Coturnix japonica: one gene and its partners. The protein of the gene in region 1 purifies or fractionates together with the protein of each later gene. This does not show direct contact. Links are inferred from orthologs where the notes say so. Each region holds a gene or a part of one and is shown in the gene's direction. Other genes may lie near its edges.

Evidence for each region.
Region 2: the proteins of SEM1 (region 1) and RAD23B purify together in Homo sapiens (co-immunoprecipitation; 3 studies listed by BioGRID and IntAct, with this or other methods). This does not show direct contact. The link is inferred for Coturnix japonica from reciprocal best matches to the Homo sapiens genes SEM1 and RAD23B.
Region 3: the proteins of SEM1 (region 1) and UBE3C purify together in Homo sapiens (affinity purification with western blotting; 3 studies listed by BioGRID and IntAct, with this or other methods). This does not show direct contact. The link is inferred for Coturnix japonica from reciprocal best matches to the Homo sapiens genes SEM1 and UBE3C.

Annotation. Positions count from the first base shown.
Region 1 is NC_029517.1:22,206,903-22,214,843, reverse strand, and holds the start of SEM1 (26S proteasome complex subunit SEM1), read left to right. Parts: upstream 1-3,773; 5' UTR 3,774-3,856; coding exon 3,857-3,932; intron 3,933-6,596; coding exon 6,597-6,690; intron 6,691-7,941. UniProt on the Homo sapiens protein: Component of the 26S proteasome, a multiprotein complex involved in the ATP-dependent degradation of ubiquitinated proteins.
Region 2 is NC_029547.1:49,512,691-49,520,166, forward strand, and holds part of RAD23B (UV excision repair protein RAD23 homolog B), read left to right. Parts: intron 1-132; coding exon 133-188; intron 189-3,574; coding exon 3,575-3,702; intron 3,703-7,476. UniProt on the Homo sapiens protein: Multiubiquitin chain receptor involved in modulation of proteasomal degradation. Binds to polyubiquitin chains.
Region 3 is NC_029517.1:7,650,787-7,658,908, forward strand, and holds the start of UBE3C (ubiquitin-protein ligase E3C), read left to right. Parts: upstream 1-2,998; 5' UTR 2,999-3,202; coding exon 3,203-3,268; intron 3,269-8,122. UniProt on the Homo sapiens protein: E3 ubiquitin-protein ligase that specifically catalyzes 'Lys-29'- and 'Lys-48'-linked polyubiquitin chains.

The DNA of each region.
Region 1 (7,941 bases):
TTTGGGTTGATCTAGATAGATCTTGGCCATACCTTTGCCACTATGTAGATATGTAAAGGTGGCAGGGTGTTTTATATATGAAAAAAGGTCTTCTCTGTTCACCTGATTTCTAATGATTCATACTAACCTTTCCAGCATCTAGTTTGGATTGAGATTACCAGCATGACTTCAGTATTCTCACACAGACTTGGCAGAGCTAAACAAAGGCAGTTGTGTAATAACAGGAAAAAGACACTTAAGCATCAATAACAGTTATTCCATCATACAGTGGGAGTGCAACTCAGTTCCTTGAACACAGGCAACTGGCACCATTGTGGAAAATCTGGGGTATTTCATTTCATCTCCAGCTGCCATGGGGAAGGGTGAAGGTCTCCCAGACTACACATCATGCAGCCCTGTGTTTTAGAGCATCTCAAATGACATTAGAAATCATTGTTTAGGCAACTGAATTGTACCCTGACTGTCTCTATATCTGCAGGGAAATGCAAGTCGTGGTGAACAGTACCCAGTAATTAGTCATATGTTCAAAACATGAATACAGTTTGCATTGAGGCTCAGTAATAAATATCTTGCTGACATAGCTACATATATTCAAGAGTTACAGAGCTGTTTGAAATCTGTTTCTGAATGCATCTGGTTCTCTTCCAGGACGTACAGTTGGGAGGCCAGAGATCAAGTGGCCAGAAAATGAAAGGGGAGTGGTGTATAAGAAGCTTCCTGCTCGCTGAATGGAGGAAGATTTGAAGGAAAATAACAGTGAAAATTTGAAAAGATGAACTGAGAGGAGAAGAAAGATGATACCAGGAATGGTAAACAAAGACAGGAAATAGCCCGCTGATGGTGTTAGTCCTTGATTAGGAGCCCGTTAAGTTTTAGCTAGAGGGCTAAACCCAAGGAGACATTTTGTCAGCCCAAATGTGGAGAGAAAACAGAAAGACAATAGAACAATTAGACAGAGGAAGAGAGCAGAAGTGAACAAACATATTGCCCCTATTACAGTGACACACAACTAGAGCTTTGCAGCAATACTGTCCAGCTGCCTTTGGACTAACTGAAAATGAGAAAATAAATCAAACTTTCTTTCGACTGTCAAGGGTAAAGAGAGAGCTGTTTCTTTTTCAGCCACCGGTAACCTGATAGCTTGCCACAGTGTATTTCACATAAGGAAGTCTGTAAAGCAACATCTAAGTGCTCCTTGTGATTAATATTCCTTATGATCTCCAGCCACCTAATCGCATACTGACCTCAGTGAAGGTCAACTGTGAGAAGAGATGGGCTGTAGGAGCAGGGTGGGCTACCAGGAGGTGCCGGTGAATGATGGAGCAGCTGGAGAGAAAGAAAGAACCACTGCAGACATGAACAAATAAATAGCAGCAAACCAAGGGTGCTGATCTTGGGAACAGCGCTGCACAGTTAGACTGAAAGAAGTGGGGCAATCCATTCCTGATGTCCAGATATGCTGAATGTGGGATATGCTTTTCTTCCCCAGTTTAATCCAGAAAGTTATAGCATGAATTGCAGTGTTATCTTGAGATGGAAAACGTCAGTTCTGGAGGATGAAGTAACTATTGCTTGAGCTGCTGGATGTGCTGCCTAATGCAGGATAGATATTCTGTATTGCATGGTGAATTCTTGCATTCTGAATGAGAAGCATGTGGTAGCGAGATCTTCCATATTCTCTTGGAACTGACTGCTTTCCTTGATATCTACTAGCCTGCACTGTTAGGCTCAGAGAGGCGTCCACCTCTTGCATCCAGAGGCGCTGTGTGGGCTCAGCTGGTGCTCTAGGCAGTGCCCATGCACATGGATTCCACATTATGCCCATGAGATCAGCTGGATCACATGCTCACAATGAGCATTCTCTTGCAGTATTAAGTTTCTCTTAGTAGACACTGCCTGATAGCCTGAGACTACGTAGACCTCCAAGACAACGGTTTATCCAGGGTGTCTGAAGTCCTTAATATGCCTCTGAAATTCCTTTTCAACAGGACACTTTTAACTAAGGCAGCTTATAAGCAAATTCATTAACAAACTGATCTATTTTCTCTTCATCTTTTCCTTGGAATATGCCCTCAGCCATTAGCACATCCAGTTCAAAGAAGATGGGCCCAGGCACTGAAATGACTACTTGTCCACCTGAACAAAAAAATTTAGCAGTCTGAACTATTGCACTAAACACATTTTTGTTTTACTGTGAAGAAAATAAAAAGCTCTACTTCCATTTTTCATGTATGCAAATTAAATTCTGAATAAATAAATCTACATAATCTCACCTCCGTGCTAGACAACTTGCAGTAACATTTGCCAAGAGGAAGACAGCCTTTTCTAATACTAATGCATAAAACATGTTGAATATAAAGAAATTAAAGAAAAATAACTGAGTAAATAGCTGCCGTGCAGCTCTGGAAAAAAAAAATAATAGAGGGATTTATGAGTTACTCTGGATTGTCTTGTTCAATCAATTCCAACATGCTACCAGAGAAGGGTGTATTCAAGTTAAGGTTTTCATTGGGATGGTCATATCCTGAACCACTGAGAGTTAAAGGATGTCTTTCCTTTAATTACCATGGAACAGAGTGTAGACCTATCTGCTGAAGCACTCAGGAATGCCAGGCTGTTGGTCCTACTCATTATACAACCAAGTTACTGTACAGTTTCAGAACAGCAAATCTCTTACTGTGTTCTGGGAATGCAGGAAGTGTCTTCTCAACACGATCAAAACTATTTCTTGTTCTGTGGCTGCAATCCATGTGGGATACAAGCCCGGTGACTGTAAGGACTGCAAGTGGCCCTGGTGCTGCAGCAAAGGAAGGATAAAAAAAACCACAGTGGCAGCATGTCCTGATTAGATATCAGTGGCCTTTTTCCACTCTGATTGCACAGGGTATATGCTGAAAGGCAACTCTTACTCTTGATGGTCTAGAAACCATCAAACGCCAATTGTACTTGAGTCATGGGCACTCTCCTCTAACCTTTTAAATATGCTTTCACTGTGGAAAACTTATTCTGGATGGTTGAATCCTTAAATCCTTTTCTCTAAAGAATTCAGAGACATCAGTGGAGCTAGGTCAACCAAAAGGCTTGAGTATTACCAACTACATCCTTCACGGAATTCAGAGATGGTTTTTCTCAGTGGAGAAGGATGTGGAAATTCTTTATATGCTTCCTAGGGATGGTAAGGTATGGGATATACAAGGCCTAAAGACTGAGTAGGAAGTGACCCAAGAACGCCAGTAAGAAACCTTAAGAAAATGTGAAATTTCAGCATGTGAAAATGCTGTTTTCTTTTTCTAACACTTGGCTGCAGGAGGAGAAGTGCTTTCTGCTTGTCTTCTGTACAGTCTGGCTGTTCAGAGTATGGGATGCCACTCACATCATCCAACCCTTAGGACCTCTTCTTGTAAGGTCTGGTTTGTAGAATGCTGTACAGAACGGGTCCTTCAGGCAGCGTAGGACAGGTTTATGTTAAGAACACAAACACGATATGGCACGGTATGGCAGTCAGTTCTTTTCTCTTAGATAACCTGGGTGCAGCTGAGCATCTTTAAACTCCTGAGCATGCTGCAAAATCAACTCTGTGTAAGGGAAAGCCTAGAGGGTAGTAGCTGGATGGTCACAGACCTCTATAAGCTTTTGGTACGGGACATCGCCTTGTTCTCTATGGATAGAGAAGGATATCTAATAGTCCGAACCGCACGGGGCGGCCCAGCAGGTGCCGCCGATGTGGGGACGCTGTGAGGGCGGTGCGGGAGGCGGTGCTGAGGGAAGGGCGGCCGGCGCTGATGCGCAGGCGCAGTGTGGGCCGCGCCGTGCCGTGCCGCCATCCCGTCAGTGTCGGCGGGCAGCGGGGTCGAGCATGTCGGAGAAAAAGCAACCGGTGGATTTGGGGCTCCTGGAGGAGGACGACGAGTTCGAGGAGTTTCCGGCTGAAGGTGCCCAGCGGGTCGGGAGGGGCGGGATGGGGAAAACGGAGCGGCGGGGGCCATGCTGTCTGTAGGCCGCGCCGCCTGCCAGAAGGCCGCGCCGGGCCAGGCCGGCCATGTACCGTGCTGTACCGTGCCGTGCCACACAGAGCCCCGCGGGGACATCGCCGTGCCCGCTGCCTCCACGCATGGAGTCCCCGGGTCCCCGTTGCCCGGTGGCCAGGCAGGAAGGGCTGTGCTGCACGGCGCTGCTGTGTCATCGTACGGGAGCGCCCCGCCGTGTCCGGGTGGGAGGGGTAGGTGGGGGGTGGGAGCTGCGTTGTTGTGTGGGAAGGGAGCAACGCGTGCAGTAGGTGCTCAAATTATCGTCTGTGCAAGCACAGAAGTGCGTTAGTTTGCTTTTTGTAGGTACAGGATACATCGAGGGAGGGGGCTGCAGGAGTCTGGGCCTCAGCAAAGCAGCCCGAGGGCCTGTCACAGCTGTGGACTTTGGGAGGACCCTGTTTGGTTCTCTACCCCCAGTTCTGGCAGCTGTCTCGAGTTGTGAATGGTGGTAAATTATATACAACATGGATGGAATGGCTGGGGTTGTTTTTCTATCCTGTTTTCCTCAGAGGTGATTTCACAGTGGCTTTATATGGCCCGTAGGGATGCAGAGTCTTGCAGTACTTGTACCAACATTATGTTTGCACATAGTAGGGATAAGACCTAAAGCAGACAGAGAAGATGAGCCCTTCTGCTTTCTTTTCCATATATTTCTTAAAAGGGTTAAAAAAAAATACTGTAATTTAATATAAGTATTAACTGTAAGGACAAAGGAAGTCTTAAAGCATGCATCTGAACCTGGGGTTGGTCTTCATGTTCCCCTGCCACCACCCTGAGAAAAAGTCCTTTGTACAGTCAAGCAGACCTTAAACTGTAAAACTGTGCTTGAGACTGGAGGAAATGGGTCTACTAGCAAATCAAACTCAATTAACTGCTTGTTAGACTCAGCGTGCATCTGTATCCAAACCGAGGAAGGTAAAATTAATTCTACTTAAATCTATCTGTGCTCCTAAAGCTGAGAAAAACCGAGTGGAGGTACACTGTAATTCTGGGTGGAACAGTCTTTTATTGAAGACTGGCCATGGCCTGACTTCCTGCTGCTGTACCTTGTTAAAGAGGCCCAATGAAATCTTCAAGTGAGATAATAATGTTGAGAGGTCATAAAGAAGGTTAGGACTGCCTGCTTTGTTATTATCTACTCCAGAGAGCACTTTGTTGTCCTGTCTCAGGTGACAAATATGGGGAGATACATTATATTCAGATACTTTTTAAGGAGTCTATTCATGAGAAGCTTATCAAATAGATGTTGATTTTGGTGTATAGTAGCAGTACTTAGTAGTAGCAGGCTCTCCGATGTTCTTTGCATTTCCAATCCCAGATAACACTATTGTTTTTTACTGTTACTCACAGGCATGTGGTAGAGCTGGAATAGTTGGAGTATATAATTCTGGCGTGTGGTGTCAACACACAGATTGCAGAATTGTACATTGTAGAATCTTGTAGCTGCAGCAGGGAGAGAATAATTTCAGCTTTACTTCCTCTTTTCTTTCCCTCCCTCCCTTTCTCCTTTCTGCTGAGGAAGGCAATGTGGCCTTTTTGCTTCTTCTTTACTCAGTGATGTTTGAAACACTCTTCCAGCATCCCCAGCTTCTGTGATTGCAGCTGAATTTGTTGTGATGAATGTGAGTTGTGGGTTTTTGGAAACCATTTTGAGCTATTTTACATTAGTAGATAGAATTTAACTTCGATACTGGTTGAGGCTTTTTGGATCAATCCAAATAGTCACATGAATGGTTAAATTTTTGCGTTGGAAAAAAATGTCAGTTGCCCACAAATTGGCAAAGCTTATTGTAGATTGTACTCAATTAAAATCCCTCCCTTTAGCCAGTGAGTGGTACAACTACATTCAAATAATGTATTGTTTCATACTGCAGTGTTTCCTCATCTGCCCCATTTTTTTTCTTTCTTTAAGACCAGTAGAATTTCTACATTCCTTCGTATTTTTTTTCCCTTTATATAATTTGAGGAGTTTAATGGTAACTCCATCTGTGTCTTTAATCAGTTACAAATGGATTTTCTTTCCTGGTGAATCTCAGATGCTCATCTTGTTGCCTGTCAGCATTAAAAGGAGAAGAAAAATGCAAGAACCAACTTTTCTTTTTGTAAAGAAAATGAACTAGTTCTTAATCTTTTGCCCTACAAGGTTTTTTCATACATGTCCATGTTTAATGTTACTTTGGCCCTTTGTTCTCAAAGCTTTCCCTGAACTCAGGCAGACAACTGAGAGGGAAGTAGGTTATTGGTATCGACTGCTGTTGGCAGGTGCATCTTTCACTTTGCCTTTGCTGCTGCATCACAGATACGTTTGTGGCATTTATCCACAGACTGTCAGTGCGTGATGTGAGTGAACTGTATGTTCTCCTGTATAAATCAGGAGATTCATTTGTTGTTGTTTTTAATTAATCTCACTGCGCTGTTTGGTCTCATGAACACTTGAGAATGATCCAGACTTGAATAGAAAGGTGAGAAATTCCTTATCGTTTGAAGTCTGCCCTACCCAGAGATCACTAAGATGTGGTACCAAAGCAGAGCAACGTATGCTATGTAGCCTTCTCTTCCTGTCTTTAGATTGGACTGGTTTAGACGAAGATGAAGATGCACATGTCTGGGAAGACAATTGGGATGATGACAACGTAGAAGATGATTTCTCCAATCAGTTAAGGTAATTTTAGTTTTTAACTTGGTATTCTAGAAGCTGGATAAAATGTTTATAACTGCATTGCTTAGTTATTAGTATCAGATACTTGGAAATCTGCTGAAATGTACAACAGAGATTAATGGCAAGGGAGCCAGGATTCTCTGTGCTTTGCTATATGGTAAGCAAAGTGTGTTGGTAAAAACATTTTCTGTACCTTCAAAATAGCATTGCTGTGCTTTGACCAGATAGACAGGTGATCGGTGGAAAACTTCTCCATATTTGTTCATCACAGAATCACAGAATGACCTGGGTTGGAAGGGACCTCAAGGATCATGTAGTTCCAACCCCCCTGCCTGGCAGGGCCACCAAACATACACCTTTACTAGATCAGGTTGCCCAGGGCCCCGTCCAACCTGGCCTTGAACACCTCCAAGGACGGGGCATCCACAACCTCCCTGGGCAGCCTGTTCCAGGACCTAACCACTCTCCTAGTGAAGAACTTCCCCCTAACATCCAACCTAAATCTTCCCTCTTTTAACTTATAACCATTTCATGTTCCCTTCTTCTGTGCAATGAGCAGCAAGGACAGAGTAAATATTTGCAAAGTGCTTTAAAAAAGTGCTAATAATTTGGGTACCTCTAATCCACTTGTGTAATCCTCTTGGTCACTTGTCATTTCAGTTAATGATTTACTCGTGTAATTGTAATCTAAATTGTTTCAAGAGTCAACACAAATTCACGTTTTATAATTAGACCTTCATTATGTTGCATGCAGAGTAAATGTCTGCAGTAGGGACTGATTAACGGTTCCTGGGATGATCTCTTTTGTAAAGGGAGAAAGTGACCCTTTGTGTAGCAGATACAGAACCAGTTTGTTGTTATAGTCCTTGCTTACAAGGTTGGAAGGTAGTTGAACTGTAATGTTGGAAATGTAATGCTGATATACAATGAAATACAGGGATGGTATAATTTTTGACAAATATAGTTGATGACAACAGGCCTTCAATGTATGTCCTAATTATAGCTTATACTGTTGGCGTCCTTACACTTGCCTTAAAATGATAGTTTGCAATGTTGCTTTGTTGCAGCATGTTTTTATTTCATCTTCAGAAAGAAAGTGGTGCACTTCTCCACTTCTTGAATTCCAACACTGTGTAAACTAACCTGAGGTTTAGGCTGCTGTGTAGAGATACATGCTAGGACTAGGCTATAAAACAGCGTAGTTCTTTCCGATATGTTGGAGGCAGATAGGTAAGAAGCTGTCTGGGGTTGGGT
Region 2 (7,476 bases), on another chromosome or scaffold:
CGAACAAAAGGGGCCACTTAAGAGTTACAGCTGCTGCTGCTTTTTTTTTTTTGAAAAAAAAAAATTAATAAATAAAAATAGGAAGTTTTCCAAAGTTTTGTAATTACCATTGCACTTGTCTTCGTCTTACAGTACAACAGGTGATACATCTCGATCAAATCTTTTTGAGGATGCTATAAGTGCACTTGGTAAGTGGAGTGTTTTTTTAATGTAGACATTATTTTGGTGCAGCAGAAACAAATGACGGATTAGCAGATGTTGACAGTCTCTTCTATATCTGTCATTGCTAAAGTTATGATCGAAGTACACTTTTCTGAGTTGAAGTTAATATCTTAGAACCAGCATCAAGAATTCTTACTGAAGATTATATCACTTCATATATTTTTGTTGTGTAAGAGGAAGATCCTTATCACTCCTAGTTTTTTTAATACTTTCTTTAATTTCTCTTTTAACCGTCCAGTTTGAATTGGCAGGGATAAAACAGTAGATGTGAAATATATACATATATATGCTTTTGTTTTTCCCTTTGCTTCCTAGTGAGCAGGTTGTATGGAATGGCTGCTTTTAGTATTCACTTGTTCTACTTCGACAGTGCTGTCAGAGAATCTACTTTGAATCTGTCATAGTGGATGAATGCAGTCAGGCTGCTGCTGTCTGGGTTGAGCAGTAAATGTCTCCATATACTAATGTTCAGTTTACTTTTATTTGATGGTTGAAATGTCTATGTTTCTCAGTGGATTAAACAGAATAAAATCAGCAGGAATTTCTAAACTTCTCTTGTGCTTATTTTGGTACTTAGGAAATTATTAGGTAAACAGTACCCCTACTTAAATTTTTGTAAGGAGTTTTTTTGAGTGTAGCAAGTTAGCACGCAGAAATAAAGAGGGAAATGGACTTGTGTTGTCTTTGTGAACATTAACCTGTATCTTAGAATAAAATGTTAAACCAAAATATCTTTCACATACATTTTTGTGTAGAAATATTTGGATGCATTAGAAGCAGGTGTTGTGACTAAACAGCCTTAGGTATTCTAAAGGCAAGAAATGTTTAACCTTTGTTAGTAACACAAGGTTTAGTCTGTTTAGGGTTTTATATTATGATGTGCTAGAGTAGACTGAAGAACTGCATGAACTGAAATAGCTAACAAGGTACTGTAGGAAACAGTTGGTCTACTTCTGTTGCCTTTTTAAAGTACCAGAGGTGCTGCAAGCTTCCTTAACTATTAATTATTGCTTAATGACAGAGATCTGGTCATTATAAATACTCCAGTTAACAATAATGACCAGTTATCTAAATTAAACTGATTGTCTTGATACAGATGCCTACAAAACTGATGAAAAGACTTCTTTAGTGCAGGAGAAGAGGACCACCATCCATATCTATTTTATGTGAAAATTCTTTCTGGTATAGTAAACACATGACCCTAACATTTGGAAGCACAAGACACTGAATGTAGTCTTCCAGAGCAGAATGCTGCCAAGTTCTATTTCTAAAGGCAATAAGCATAAACTCTTTTAATTCAGAAATTATTTTAAAAGGAATTTGCTTACTTGATTTAATAGAGTATGTTTTTGCATCCTAAATGGGATCGTAGTCATGTTCATACTGTTGCTTTTCAGTTACCCTGTAGGAGCATAATAGACTTCACTTAAAAACAGACATTGTTTTCTACTGAATTGCTTTTGTTTTGAGGTGCTGGAATAGGCAGCCCAAAGAAGCTGTGGGTGCCCCATCCCTGGAGGCACTCACCACCAGGTTGGATGTGGCTGTGGGCAGATTTGTCTGGTGATGGACTTTAAGGTCTCTTTCAATTTCATTCTGTGATCCTACGAAATCTGGCCTGGGATGTGTGTTATTAAAAAGCAGAGAGAGCTAATGTGTACCCTGGACTGCACTGATTTACACCCCAGCACATGCAGTTGTGGCCAACAGGCAAGCACACCCAGCTGCACTCTCACAAACAATCTTAGCTAACATTATTTAGAGAGAGTCCTGGCTGTATGATGGTACTGCTGGTGTGCAATTCCTGAACTACTGCTGTTGGTCTCATGTTATTATACTGTTTAAATAGACTGTGTATGGAGTACATGTGCTTAGATTCACAGTACTTCTGTTTCCTTCTTCCTTCTTTTTTCTGTACAAAATCTATCACTGCTCTGGTCTCTACCAAGCTTTTATTGAGAAAAGCACTACAGAAATGTTTAAGCATTAACTAATTAAATGAAAAGGTATTCTGTGTGCTGTTTATCTTCATAAGTCCATGATCAGTAGTAAGAATAAACTGTTGGTGGATGGGAAAATACGAGCAGAAAGTTGATAAATAAACTACTGTATTGGAACAGTTTTGGCTTTTTTGCTTTTTGAAGATATGTACAATAATATATAATTTTTAAGGCAAAGTTTTCATGATTGCTTATTTTAAGGAAATGAGTATGTAAAATAATGGCTATATGTAAAGACATGTATGTACCTTTGTTTAAGTTGGTTAAATCTTCTGTTTTGAAGTCTGAACAGTGGGTACTCACACTAGCCAATAGATGTTAAATCATTATTTATGTGTAATGCACAAGTGTCTTTGAGGTAGTGCTGTTCTACTCTTAAATATATTTTTTAGTTTTTCCTTTTGACTCTCTGTGGGAAGTCTCCCTTAAAATGTTGCTCAATTACAATTCAGAATAGAATAGTTTTTTCCTTTTTGTTTCAGAGGGTTTTTTTAAACCTTGTCTGTTTTTAACAGAAGTAAATGAAGCAGTTTATGTATACTTAATTTTATTTATTTCTAAACCAATTGTATAATGAACTGCCCTGAAACTGTTCCATATGCAGTATTTTTTAACTTTGTCTTGATATCTGCAGGCATGAGCCAGGTTTAGTATGTTTGCACCCAGACAAGATCGGGAGCTTAGTGTGATAGATGTTTAGTCAAAAATACATTGTGATAACTTAATCCTCACTGAAGTCTTGAGATTCTCTTAGATATAACTTTAGTCTTCTGCTTGACTTCAGTTGCTCCAAGTTAAGTTGGTTAAATTACTTTGATTGTTGTCACCAGCTCATAGTTAATAGACAATTATAACTTGATCATAACTTTGTCGCCTTTCTAACCATAGCTTAGTATAAAGTACTTCTTAGGAAAAAACATCAATGGCTAATATAGTCTGACAAGCAGGTTTCTGCCTAAAAAGCTTAATTTCTGAACTTAGACTGCAGGAGACTTTTCATAATTATGTTAGGAATTGAATATTAGTTTTAATGACATTGTTGAGCTTAGGGAAAAGCATAGAAAGGGAAGGGTATCTCAGTTATGAAGTTGGAATTGTCACATGTGCTGCTTTTTTCAGTGGAAGTTTGTAGTGTGTTCATTATCCTAGAACTCTGCTATTCCAACCAAATGCATAATGAAACTATCAGAACATGTTTTGATAGAACCATGGTGAGGTTGATATCAGTGTTTACGCTTCAGTGAATTACTCAAATTTGAATAGAAGTGACACTTCTCCATTGAAGCTTTTTAAGCTTTTTTTTTTTTTTTTGGTACCTTATTCATTTACAATGGTCAAAATGTTACTTCTAGTGACAGGTCAGTCCTATGAGAATATGGTGACTGAAATCATGTCCATCGGCTATGAACGTGAGCAAGTAATTGCAGCGCTGAGAGCCAGCTTCAACAATCCAGACAGAGCAGTGGAATACCTTTTAATGGTGAGCAGTTTGTCATGTATACTCCGTTCTCTCGTCTTCATTGAAGAACTTTGTATTTTATTTACCTGTTATTTTGAATATTGTTTTGATCGTGTGCTACGGGAAATACTGAAGTTGCTGTTAGCTACATCTCTTGCTTTGCTTATATTCTGTTGATTTTTTTGTGGTTATATGTGTTAGGCACACCCAGTTTCATTGGAAGCTCTTAATTGCTAGTGACCAACCCAAGCAGTGGTTGTTGTGACATCTTAGTGATAATGCTGTTTTGTTAGTGTGCATAACATCACACCAAGGTAACACTTTAGAAATTCCTGTTCATCATTACTACTGGTTGTACACAACAATCATACTAATGAGTTTTCCAAACAGAAGGACTTGTAAATTTTTATTAACAAATGCTTTACTTATGCAGTGTTCTGGACAAGAAACAGTTTCCCTTGTCAAAAACACAGTTTCAAAAGTGAAATGAACTTGATTGACTTGAGAGGTAATAAAATAGTAACTTCACTTTAATGGAAATCTTGTAAGTTATTTTAGGGTTTTTTGTTGTTGTCTTTGTTGTTGTTGCTTTTTAAATTACATCTCATTTTAAAGCCAGCTGTCTTGAACTAGTCCCTGCAGAGTATGAGAACAGAATTTCTGAGAGACTTGATAAGAAAACTGACCTCCAGCTGCAAAGTTTTGTTTTTGTAAACAAAATTTTTTGTTAGTGTGTACAACTAGCAGTCACTGGCACGGTTGCTATTCACACAATTGATCCCAAGATCCTGTAGTTTCTAAATGAGCAACAAATGTTTTTAGTACATGAATGTAAAAAGTTAAACTCTCATCTGGAATGGGAGCAAACAAAGGCTTTGAATTCTTGATACCCTGAGGGCAAATGGAGTAGTTCCAACCCAGCTGTCATTAATCTGGAAATCTCAAATATTTATCTTTCATGCCTTGGAAAGTGTTGGTTTTACTGTCTGCTCACTGTGCGTTTAGTTTGTACATAAATCCAGTGCCCCTTTGAAGTGCTGCGTTTGGTGTATGTTCCCCAGTCATGTACAGCCTGTAGTACTTTTGCAGTCGGAATAATATTTCCCTGCTTTAGCTCATTTGTGTTGAGGAAAAAAATAAAAATAGATTATCCAGGAGGTAGTTTAACAGGTGGCACGTTTGTTCATCAAACAGATCGATTCTGTCCTGAGTAGTTAATTTCTTGCTCATTAGGCTTGTGGGTCTTCCTCTTGCATATGTGCTCTCCCTTCTATTTTTTGTCATTCTCTTCTGAAAATATGTTTTCATTTTTCTGTCAGCTGGAGAAAGGAGTGGTGAGAAGTAATCTTGTTCTCAGAGAACATTAGTATACAGACTCTTTTTTTTTCTGTTAGAAAAATGCTATTGGTGCTACTGAACTTTTAGACAGTTTTTTGGTCTATCTAAATATGTTCATGACCAATCTGCTGCATCAGGAAAATGTTTTCTTCAGTTAGTATTGTTCCACTGATAACGCGGTTCTTTGATCTCCTAGTTTAACAGCCTCCAAATGATCTGCAGGGTAGCTTTAGGATGTTGAGCTCTTAAGTGCACACAATTATTGTGGTTTGAAGAATCAGCACCAAGAAAAAAGCCTATAAGCGGCTGGAAAGGAAAGGTCAAGTGTAGTTAATGTAGCTGTTCTGGAGATGAGAACTGGAGAATCACTGACAGCAAGTGGGATCATTTAACAAGCTATTCAATTTTTATGGCTTAGTTTCTCAATCATATATTGTCCTATATCCTTGAGCTGTGTTTGTAGAAGGAGATTTCAATTCTAAAACACACTTCTAAAAATTTTTATTTATTTATTTATTTTACTTCAGACTTGTGTTTAGGAGATATTTAGATTCAAATCTGGTTTTGACCAAAGGTTTTCTTAACCTGTTAATTAGATTTTCTGTCAGTCATCCAGCTATTTAATTCTTTACAACCCTCGTTGTCCAAAAATGTGTATGCTTCTTGGACTGTGCCTGATATGATTATTACACACACCTGTGGTGAATGTTGTCTGCTAGTAAGCCACTCTGTTTGGTTAAACTGTGAGCAGATCTGCCCACAGTAAGGCAAAAAAATGCCCTTTTCACAGTTCAAGTGATGTTTATATTCCAAATTTAAGTTTATGTTTATTGATACCGTGCTTGTATAGATGTGTAAAGGGGGTGCATATACCTTACTGATTACCATCACATATAGTCTAGGTTTGTATGGTGGATTGTTTGTTTTTTTGATAGTAATATTTCAACGTTGTATTTAAGAATTGAGACAATATTCAAAATAGTAAATTGTCTCTAAGTAAATTTGGTTAGGCTAGTTTCCATAGTGTTTCCATTCAAGGACAGACTTGAGGTTTATACAAACATTCACTGATTGGTCTGGATACAGACAGTAGTGACGACACTTTCCTGAGAATATGTAAAGTCAACCAGTAATTCCAGAAGGTTAACACACGTTCATAAGATCATTGCTGCAATACTTGAAGGGAATGTATAAACAGGAGAGGGTATGACAGTTTACAAGGGTGGATAGTGATAAGACTAGGGGGAATGGTTTTAAATTGAGACGGGGAGGTTTATGTTAGATATTAGGAGGAAGTTTTTGTGAAACAGAGGGTGGTGAAGCCCTGGAACAGGTTGCCCAAGGAGGTTGTGGATGCCCCATCCCTGGAGGCATCCAGGACCAGGCTGGATGTGCCTCTGGGCAGCCTGGTCTGATGGTGGGCAACCCCGCACATAGAAGGGGGATTGAAATGTGATGATCTCTGTGGTCCTTTTCAACTCAGGCCATTCTACAATGTGGTGGAGTCACAGAACAGACTGGCTTGGAAGATGCCTTAACACCCACCCAACCCTGTGCCATGGCTGGGGTGCCCCCCACTAGCTCAGGATGCCCAGGGCCCCCATCCAGCCTGGCCTTGAGCTCCTCCGGGGTTGGGGTACCCTCAGCTTTTCTGAGCAGCTGTTCTGGGGCCTTGCTGCCCTCTGAATAAAGAATTCCCTCCTGACACGTACCCTAAATTGCATCATCGCAAATCCAAAACACAGAATCATACAGCTATAGTCAAGAAAATTATCCCAGTGATTAACAGTACAAGTGTAGTTCTGTGCTTATTTCCACCCATTCTTTTCCTCATGTGTAGTTGTTCCCAAAATGAAGGATGCCTTTTTCCTTTAAAGTAGGTGAAATGTGTTCCTTCATACCAGACTTTCTGCCTTCTCAAACAATTGTGGATTTTTGGTGCCATGGAGATGGAGTGCTGTGAGGTAGATGATCTTATATAGGCTTGCTTGTTCAGGACTGGGCTTAGTGTAACTCCCCCAGTTAATACAGTGCATGTCAGCAGCATTACTACTCCATGGAGTCTGCTTTTCATGTGTTTGTCCTGCTTAGCATTTCTCTCTCCCTGTACCATCAGGGTGTAGCCACATACGAACCTTTCTGTTGTCTGTTCTATGCTGATACAAAAGGCTGCTTGGAAAGGTATTTCTGGGCTTCAAGGGGGGACAAGGCAAATTTGGTACAGGAATTCAGTGACGAAGAACGTGGTTAGGATGGGAAGGGTTTCCAGGTAGGAAAAAGGTAGTAATATCTGCCTGGGTTTCTAGATTTGTTAGGCTCGCTGCCCTGAACAGTTATTTAATATGTGAAGTTCTTTGCATGCAAAACAATAAAGAGAATACAGGTTGACTGTTTCTGCTGAAAGTCTGGTAACTTTTCAGGCATTTTCACAGAAGGTTTGGTGAATGATGACTGTCA
Region 3 (8,122 bases), about 15 Mb from region 1:
CTACAATGAACAGGGACAACTACAGCTTGTTCAGATGCTTAGCGCCTCATCCAGCCCCACCATTAATGTCTTCAAGGATGGAGCATCCACCACCTCTCTGTGCAACATGTTCCAGTGTATCACTGCCCTAACTGTAAAAAGCTCTTTCCTTGCATCCAGTCTGTATCTTCCATTTTACTTTGAAACTATTTCCCCTTGTCCAGTCACAACAGACCCTGCTAAAGAGCCAGGCCTCCTTCTTTCTCCCTTTCAATACTGAAAGATATTTTAGACACCAGAAGATACTTTAGATACTGAAGTTCCTCAGTTGCAGTGACTTATCTACACTGCACTAAATACAGATGCATGAAAGGTGCTTTACAGCATTATATAGTTAGAGATATATTATTTAGAGATATTTTGTATGTATGTATGTACTTAGAGAAAGTGATTCTTAGATCATGGTGAGGGTAATAAATCCAACAACACTGAAGAAGAAAAGGGAACTTGAAAATGGAATACTTGTCATCAGTGATTCTCACATATTCAAACTGAATAGCCCAAATACCTGCTTTCAAATAAGAGGCAGAAAAGATCAATAAGGCTCAGAGGAATTAAGACAATTTTGAGTAACAGAAGATTTTTAACAGTTTGCCGTCTGGTGAACAACTGGACTTCTGCAGGCAAGTTGTACCTGGAAGCAATGTGTGCATATACATGCAAAGAGGAAAAGGAACAATCAAAGGTCATAAAACTGTAAGAAGGAAAGAAAAAAAGCCTCATGGAATGTGCATTAAGAAAGGAAATGGGAAAGATGGGAAACTGCACATGAAGCTAACTTCATTGCAGCAGGAGAGGCATGTAGATGTTAACACAGGCATCCATCTGAGGTATTTGTTTGTCAATGCTCTGAATGCACTAAGAGGACTTAATTGTCCTGATCAGCTTCAGCTGGAAGTCCCACTCACTCCTTGCATCAGGAACAGCCTAGGAGAGTTATCTCTAACTCTGTTTCTTGGTTGAACCTTGGGCCCATCTCTTGTTTCTGGCTACTTGTGGTTGGGCATTCTGGACTCTCCCTCTCACCATGTCTGGGGCTGCCAGTGGATTCTGTAACCACTGATTGGGTTCTGCCTGCTATTTTGAATCCTGTAAGATTATGTCCTGGCATGGTGAGGGCATTGCCTGTCCTTGGATCAAACCTGCGCCCACTCATTTTCAAGGAACCTTGCTCTTGATGCTCCCTGAGAATATGAAAGCAGTCCCCACACTGACTTCTTGAAGAAGCGTTTTCTGACTACTCACCTGTCTTCTCCACTGGTAATGTAAACATATATTTTGCATTAAATTAAAAGAGAAAACAGGTTTAGTTTCCTGTATGCCTCCTTAAATTCACTGTATTCAAAATACAAAACCTCAGTTTATCCTAAGTTATCCTTGTTTAATAAAATGACACCTAGTGTGGCCTCTAGGGGCACACACAAATCATTCCTCAGGCAAACATCCATCAGTTGGGTCAGTTACCAGCTGCTTCTTCAGCAGGGAGCATCCTGAGTCAGCAGAGGATCTTGTGGCTTTCTAACATTGAAGCTGGTCCCTGCCAGACGTGTATTTGTCCCAGATCCATTGTACAGAAACCCTCCTTATGTAGAGTATTCCATTTTCTTGGTGCCAAACTGCCCAGCAGTGGTGTGACATTACATCAGCAATACAGAGTGTTTCAACTGTGAATCAACACTTGACACGGTATTTCACAACGCTCTAAACCTCAGCTGCACCAGTAAACAGTATTTATAGGCCAGACTTGCTCATACCGAAACTGTTATCTCAGGAAAAGCACAGCTCATATACAGCCTTGCCAAGCACTTGTGCCATTAAAAGACTGATATGTTAAAATCTAGATGCTTTGAAATCATCAAAATTAGAAGAAATATCAATGAATTGTTTCTTAGCTTGGAGACTGATGCAGGCCTGGATTTCCACACAGCCTTACCTCACGGATCCTTGCCATTACTTGGGATGCAGCGATGTGAGAACTCACATTTCCACTAAAGGAAATGAAAGCAGGAGTGGAGCACATAGATTCACTTAACACCTCATAGCTGCAGAGTGAATAAATGCTTTTTGTTATTGCTTTCATCCCTATCACGTCTGTGTCTGAAAGGACACCAAGAAATGGCGGTCGGTCGGGCTGAGGAATGTGACATAAAGAGCCTGGGGTGTAGTTTCACCCCAAGGTGTGCTGATATGAGGTGACAGCTGCCGGCCTGGTGAGGCCCCAGCCCCACTCACTCAGGACTGTTTCTCTGGTGAGTTTTCAGACTTGGACTTTGCAAAGGGGGTAACAGCAGCCACAAGCTCATTCTACAGAAAGGACGGATGAATTTAGAAGTACTGGTGTTTCACAGAATGAGCCGGGTTGGAAGGGACCTCAAGGATCATGTAATTCCAACCCCCCTGCCTGGCAGGGCCACCAAACATACACATTTACTAGATCAGGTTGCCCAGGGCCCCGTCCAACCTGGTCTTGAACACCTCCAAGGACGGGGCATCCACAACCTCCCTGGGCAGCCTGTTCCAGACCTAACCACTCTCCTAGTGAAGAACTTCCCCCTAACATCCAACCTAAATCTTCCCTCTTTCAACTTAAAACCATTTCCCCCTGTCCTGCTATTATCAGCCCTTTCCAAGAGTTTACTCCCCTCCTGGGTGTAAGTTCCCTTCAGCAGCTCCAGGTTTCTCCATCCCACCTTAGGGAACTGAGGGGCGGCGCGGCCCCATCGGTTGCGGGCGGTGCGCGCACGCTCCTGTCGTCGGGAGCGCGCGTGGGAAGCTGCAGGCGGCGGCCATCTTCTCTCAACCGCCGGCTGCTCCCCCAAGTGCAAGTAAAGCAGCCCCTCCAGCCCCCTCCTCCTCTCCTTCCCTCCTCCTTATTCTCCCTCCCACTACGCGCAGCCGCGGCAGCCGGTCAGGAGGGGGGCGACCGGGGGAGAGAAGGCCGCGGGGCGGGGAGAGGGGACGGGGGGGGAGCGGCGCGGGGTTCGCCGGCTGCGGGGTGCCAGCCTGGGGGGGAGCGGCTACCCGGGGCCGTGGAGATCCCTTGTAGATCCCTTGGAGATCCCTTGGAGATCCCTTGGAGATCCCTTGGAGATCCCTCCGCTCGGCGCTGGTGGCGGTGTCCGCTCCGGGCCGGGCGCCTCTCTAGATGGGATAAGCTGTAAACATGTTCAGCTTTGAAGGCGATTTCAAAACAAGGCCCAAGGTGTCTCTTGGAGGAGCGAGTAGGAAGGTAAGAGACGCCTCTTGTCTTGTCTCCGTGTTTACGTCCGCTTGGCTTGTCCTCTGTTGTTATTTTTACCGTTGGGCCTTTAAAAAAAAATAATAAAATGGGAGCAGCTATGACTAAGGTCTACCACGGAGCCCAAATCCTCCCTTCCTGATGATGCGTTTATCTCCCTGCCTCTGTTCTCTTATTTATTTCCCTTCCCTTCACACCACTCTCCCCCTCCCAGGCTCATGGGCCCAGAGCCGGGGCAGCGGCCTTAACACGGCCCAGGTCAGCGCATGTTACTGGGGAAGGCTTCACCCGCACGGCTGGAGCTTGTCAGGTCGCTGCAGCTGGAGCTTTGCTCTCTCAGGTTTCCATACAGCAGCAGTTTGATGGCTGCTGGCTTTTATGGATGGAGAAGAAGCAGAGTGGTTTATTTTGGTTTGACTGCCTTGCCCCAGCTGAATGGTTGGGCGCAAGGAGTGAGAGAGAAAGGCCTGATGTGTCAGGGACGCTCTAATGCACTGCTACAATACTAGTTCCCTGTGTTATCATTGTTACATCTCTTTTTGCTGTTTTCAGTGTTATTTCAGTCTTCATGGGAGCAACAAAAGCTGTTGTTACTGTGCACTATAAGCGAGTTCAGTTCTCTTGTAGGGTTTGGCAGTAAGTTTGGAAGGCAACAGAAGTACTTCAGTGTGTGACATTAAAGTCATGACAGAGTTTTCTTCAGGCATCTCACATCTTTTAGTACCGAGAATGTTCAACAGAATGGCATTGAAGTGCAGCTTCTCACCTGAATCATCTTATCTGAAGGCAGTTCTGTTCATTAGACCACCTACAGTTGCATTACATGAATCATAAATACCATCAATGTTGCCTGGTTGAAGTAGGAATTGGCAGAACATGCCCTGGCCCTTGACAATAAGCTTCGGGCACTTGGCAGCTTTTAGCATCAACTTGCTAATAGCGTTACTTATAGAGCATGTTTCCTCTTCTGAAAATAAACAGTTGATGTATCCTTTGTTAAACCTACTGATTTCTTCATGGAAATTCAACAGAATTTCTTGTTATACATATTAGTTGTATGTGCTGACTTTCTGCAGGTACAGATTTACCAGAGTGAATATTATACGAGGAAGGAAATGGAAACTGAAACTGTTGTATAAACTTCACTCAGTCCAATAAAGGATAATATTTCACAATCAATCAGCTTTACACTGAGCGGTGTATAGATTGCAGGGCATTACTGCACTATATGGGATGCTTGTGCTGCATCAAGGCAAAACACTCAGTTGCAGCTCTGGCCATCCTGAACAGCTGCTGGTTTTCAGAACCTGTGCAGTGTTAATGACTTGGAAGTGCAGTTTATGTCCACTTCTGTGTGAACGCACTACAGTGGAGTGTGGTCTGTGTCTCTTGTCTCATGTCCTAGGCTGTTTGTGATCACGTTTCCTTTTACCTGTAGGCTTGTATGCTGGCTGCTTAGTGCTGAGAATAGTTTGATTTGGGGATCTTTCCCACATTTTGTTGCACCTGGATAGCTGTATTTTGACAAAAGCAAGTGTAGAGTCTTGCACCTGGGTAGAAATAATTGCATGCACCAGTACAGGCTGGGGGAAGACCTGCTGGAGAGGAGCTCTGCTGAGAGGGACCTGGGTGTCCTGGTGGATGACAGATTAACCATGAGCCAGCAGTGTGCCCTTGTAGCCAAAAAAGCCAATGGCATACTGGGGTGTATTAAAAAGAGCGTGTCCAGCAGGTCAAAGGAGGTGATCCTCCCCCTCTATTCTGCCCTGGTGAGGCCTCATCTGGAATATTGTGTCCAGTTCTGGGCTCCCCAGTACAAAAAAAACAGGGATCTCTTGGAAATAGTCCAGCAGAGGGCCACAAAGATGGTGAAGGGCCTGGAGCATCTCCCCTATGAGGAGAGACTTAGGGAACTGGGTCTATTTAGCCTTGAGAAAAGAAGGCTGAGAGGGGACCTGATGCAGGTTTATAAATACCTGAGGTGTGGGAGCCATAGTGGCGAGACTGGTCTCTTTTCAGTAGTGCGTGGGGACAGGACTAGGGGTAATGGGATGAAAGTACAGCATAGGAAGTTCCGCACGAATGTGAGGAAGAACTTCTTTACAGTGAGGGTGACGGAGCACTGGAACAGGCTGCCCAGGGAGGTGGTGGAGTCTCCTTCTCTGGAGATATTCAAGACCTGCCTGGACGCCGACCTGTGTGACGTGGTGTAGGGAGCCTGCTTTGGCAGGGGGGTTGGACTCGATGATCTCTAGAGTCTCCCTTCCAACCCCTACAATTCTGTGATTCTGTATTTAGCAGAACACAAGCACGGAGCCAGGCACTGCAGTGTGTGGAGTCGGTCTGTCAGCACTTCACATGCCAGCAGTGTTGTTCTGATGTGGATATAACTACACCGACATAAACCATCAGCAAACCTGACTGGTAAAGGAGAGGTTTGGCTAATAATAACTACAGCCACAGCTGGTAACCTTGTTGGTCTTGGGTCACATATGCTGGCAGCCCACCTGACATTGCCATTTACTTCTGTAGTGGAGATGTACCAAGTCTTCCTCAGGCCTTCTGACACCTGAGTCCTACCAGCATATGTACAATGATCCAAGTATTGCTGTGTCTAAAATGGGTCTTGTGGTGGCAGTTAGAAAACTTCCAGTCCCAATGTGATTATAAATTTATAAAGACTTAAGGCAGATTGAAGTTAATAGATATATTAGTTTGAGGAGGTGAATTGTCAGATTGTCAGACCTACACAGTAGGTCTTGATGTATAGTGTGTGAAAATAAAAACAGGGGTTTAAGAAAAGGATGATGAGATGTAATATGAAATGTTTATTTTAATTACTAGCAGCTTTCCCTACGGAAGGCTCTGAACCCAATGTGCTTTCTCACCACTAAGTTTTACCATGTTGTTGAATGGAGAAAGCAGCAGCTTAAGGTCAGTGTTTACGCTGTATGTATCTTGTATGTGTTACACTGTATGCATCCCATTCATTGGGATGGTCTGGGCTGTGAATGCTGTAGAAAAGCACTGAAATCCAGCTTAGCTTTTTACCAGGAGTTTGCTAAGTCTTGGATTGCAGGATTAATTCAATCAAAATGACTGCTGCTTTCAAAATGTTGTGACGTTTGAGTGCTATATTTTATAATAGGTGTAAAATATAGATGACATTGTCAGCGTTTGGACTATTCTGTCCACCTCCTTTCACAAATCTGCTGATTCATCTGGGTTATTGCACTGGTTGTGTATTTGATAGAGGGAATGGATGCTGTTTTGGTGTTTTATTTACAGTGTGATAAGTTGTTGTACTATGCTATTGCTGACAATAGCAGGACACGGGGAAATGGTTTTAAGTTTAGTGTGAGAAAGGAGGGAAGATCTAGGGTTGGATGTTAGGGGAAGTTCTTCACTAGAGAGTGGTTAGGCCTGGAACAGGCTGCCCAGGGAGGTGTGGATTGCCTCGTCCTTGGAGGTGTTCAAGGCCAGGTTTGGACGGGGCCTGGGCAACCTGATCTAGTAAAGGTGGTATGTCTGTTGTGGCACCTGCCAGGCAGGGGGTTGGAAACTACATGATCCTTGAGGTCCCTTCCAACCCGGGTCATTTTGTGATTCTGTGACTAATGTTAGGGGTCTTTATTGTCACCATTAAAACGCAATTCCCGCCTGCTTCATGAGGCTCCTCAGAAGTTATTTTCAGATGTAGTTTTAATTATAACTGGTACAACTTCTTAAGTATTTCCTAAGTTAGTAGGCCCCAAAATGCATGCTTTATTTGGGATCGGTATGGGAAAATCCTGGTGGTGTGCTGGCAGGAATAAAGGGGACACTTGAAGAAGCTGTTTTGGGTGTACTTCAAATGAGTTAACCCGCAGAATCAAGAATGTAGCTCTACATTCATCATATATGTGATGAGCTCTATTAAGACTTCTTGTAAGTCTTCAACAGGGAAAAAATGGTTAAGATATGTTATGAAGCCAAATGTATAATCTAAAACATATGGAGAAGTGCTTTTACAAATCCCAAGACTTTTAAAAATAGAGTAATTTTAAATTACAAATGAGACAGCTTTACAACAGCTTTAATAAAGTCCCTTTTGTTTCTTTTAATGCTCTTGTTTTTATAAGCAAGGAACTGTTGCTTACCAAGTTCTGTTTATTTCTGTTACTGACATCACGTTCCTGTATATTTCCCCTCCAACTTCCAGGTAAAGTGTGTATGGGGAATTAGGTAGTTAGTGCATATGAGTCATTGTGGGTGACATTTAACTCCTCCTCACTTGAAAAGAAGCTACAGGTTGTATGTTAGCTGGGAGTGGTGATGGAATTGCTGCTGTCAGTACAGGCTGTTGTCTCACACTTGAAAACACATTTCTGCTCTTATACAGTGTGTGTATTTAGCGTAGACTATTTTGGTGCTGAATAGAACAGCGTTTTCCATTAAGAAGGGAATAAGCTCCTCATTTTACAAAGAATCACAACGTTAATATTTCAGTTGTTAGCAATTGTTGTTCTTCTTCTAATGTACTCAACGTTTAAACGCTACGTGAAATAATTGCTGCTGTTTCTCATTTTACACCTCATAAAGTTAGTTTTATATTGTTCCAAGTGGAGTTAAGATGCCTTATAGCAAGATGTGTCAAGTGATGTTCAGTTTCGAAGATGCCTGAAAGTTAAATACTGTGGCAATATTTGGGGAAAAAAACCCAAATATATAGGGGAGGAGGGTATTTGAGACAAATCTAGTACGTAATCTGGCTAAAAAGCGAGTGGTGTTTTGTAACAATGACCTCCAAGCAAAAGATAATTTTGGTTCATCTCGCTTCCCACTGCGAGTTTCTTTTCTTTTGCA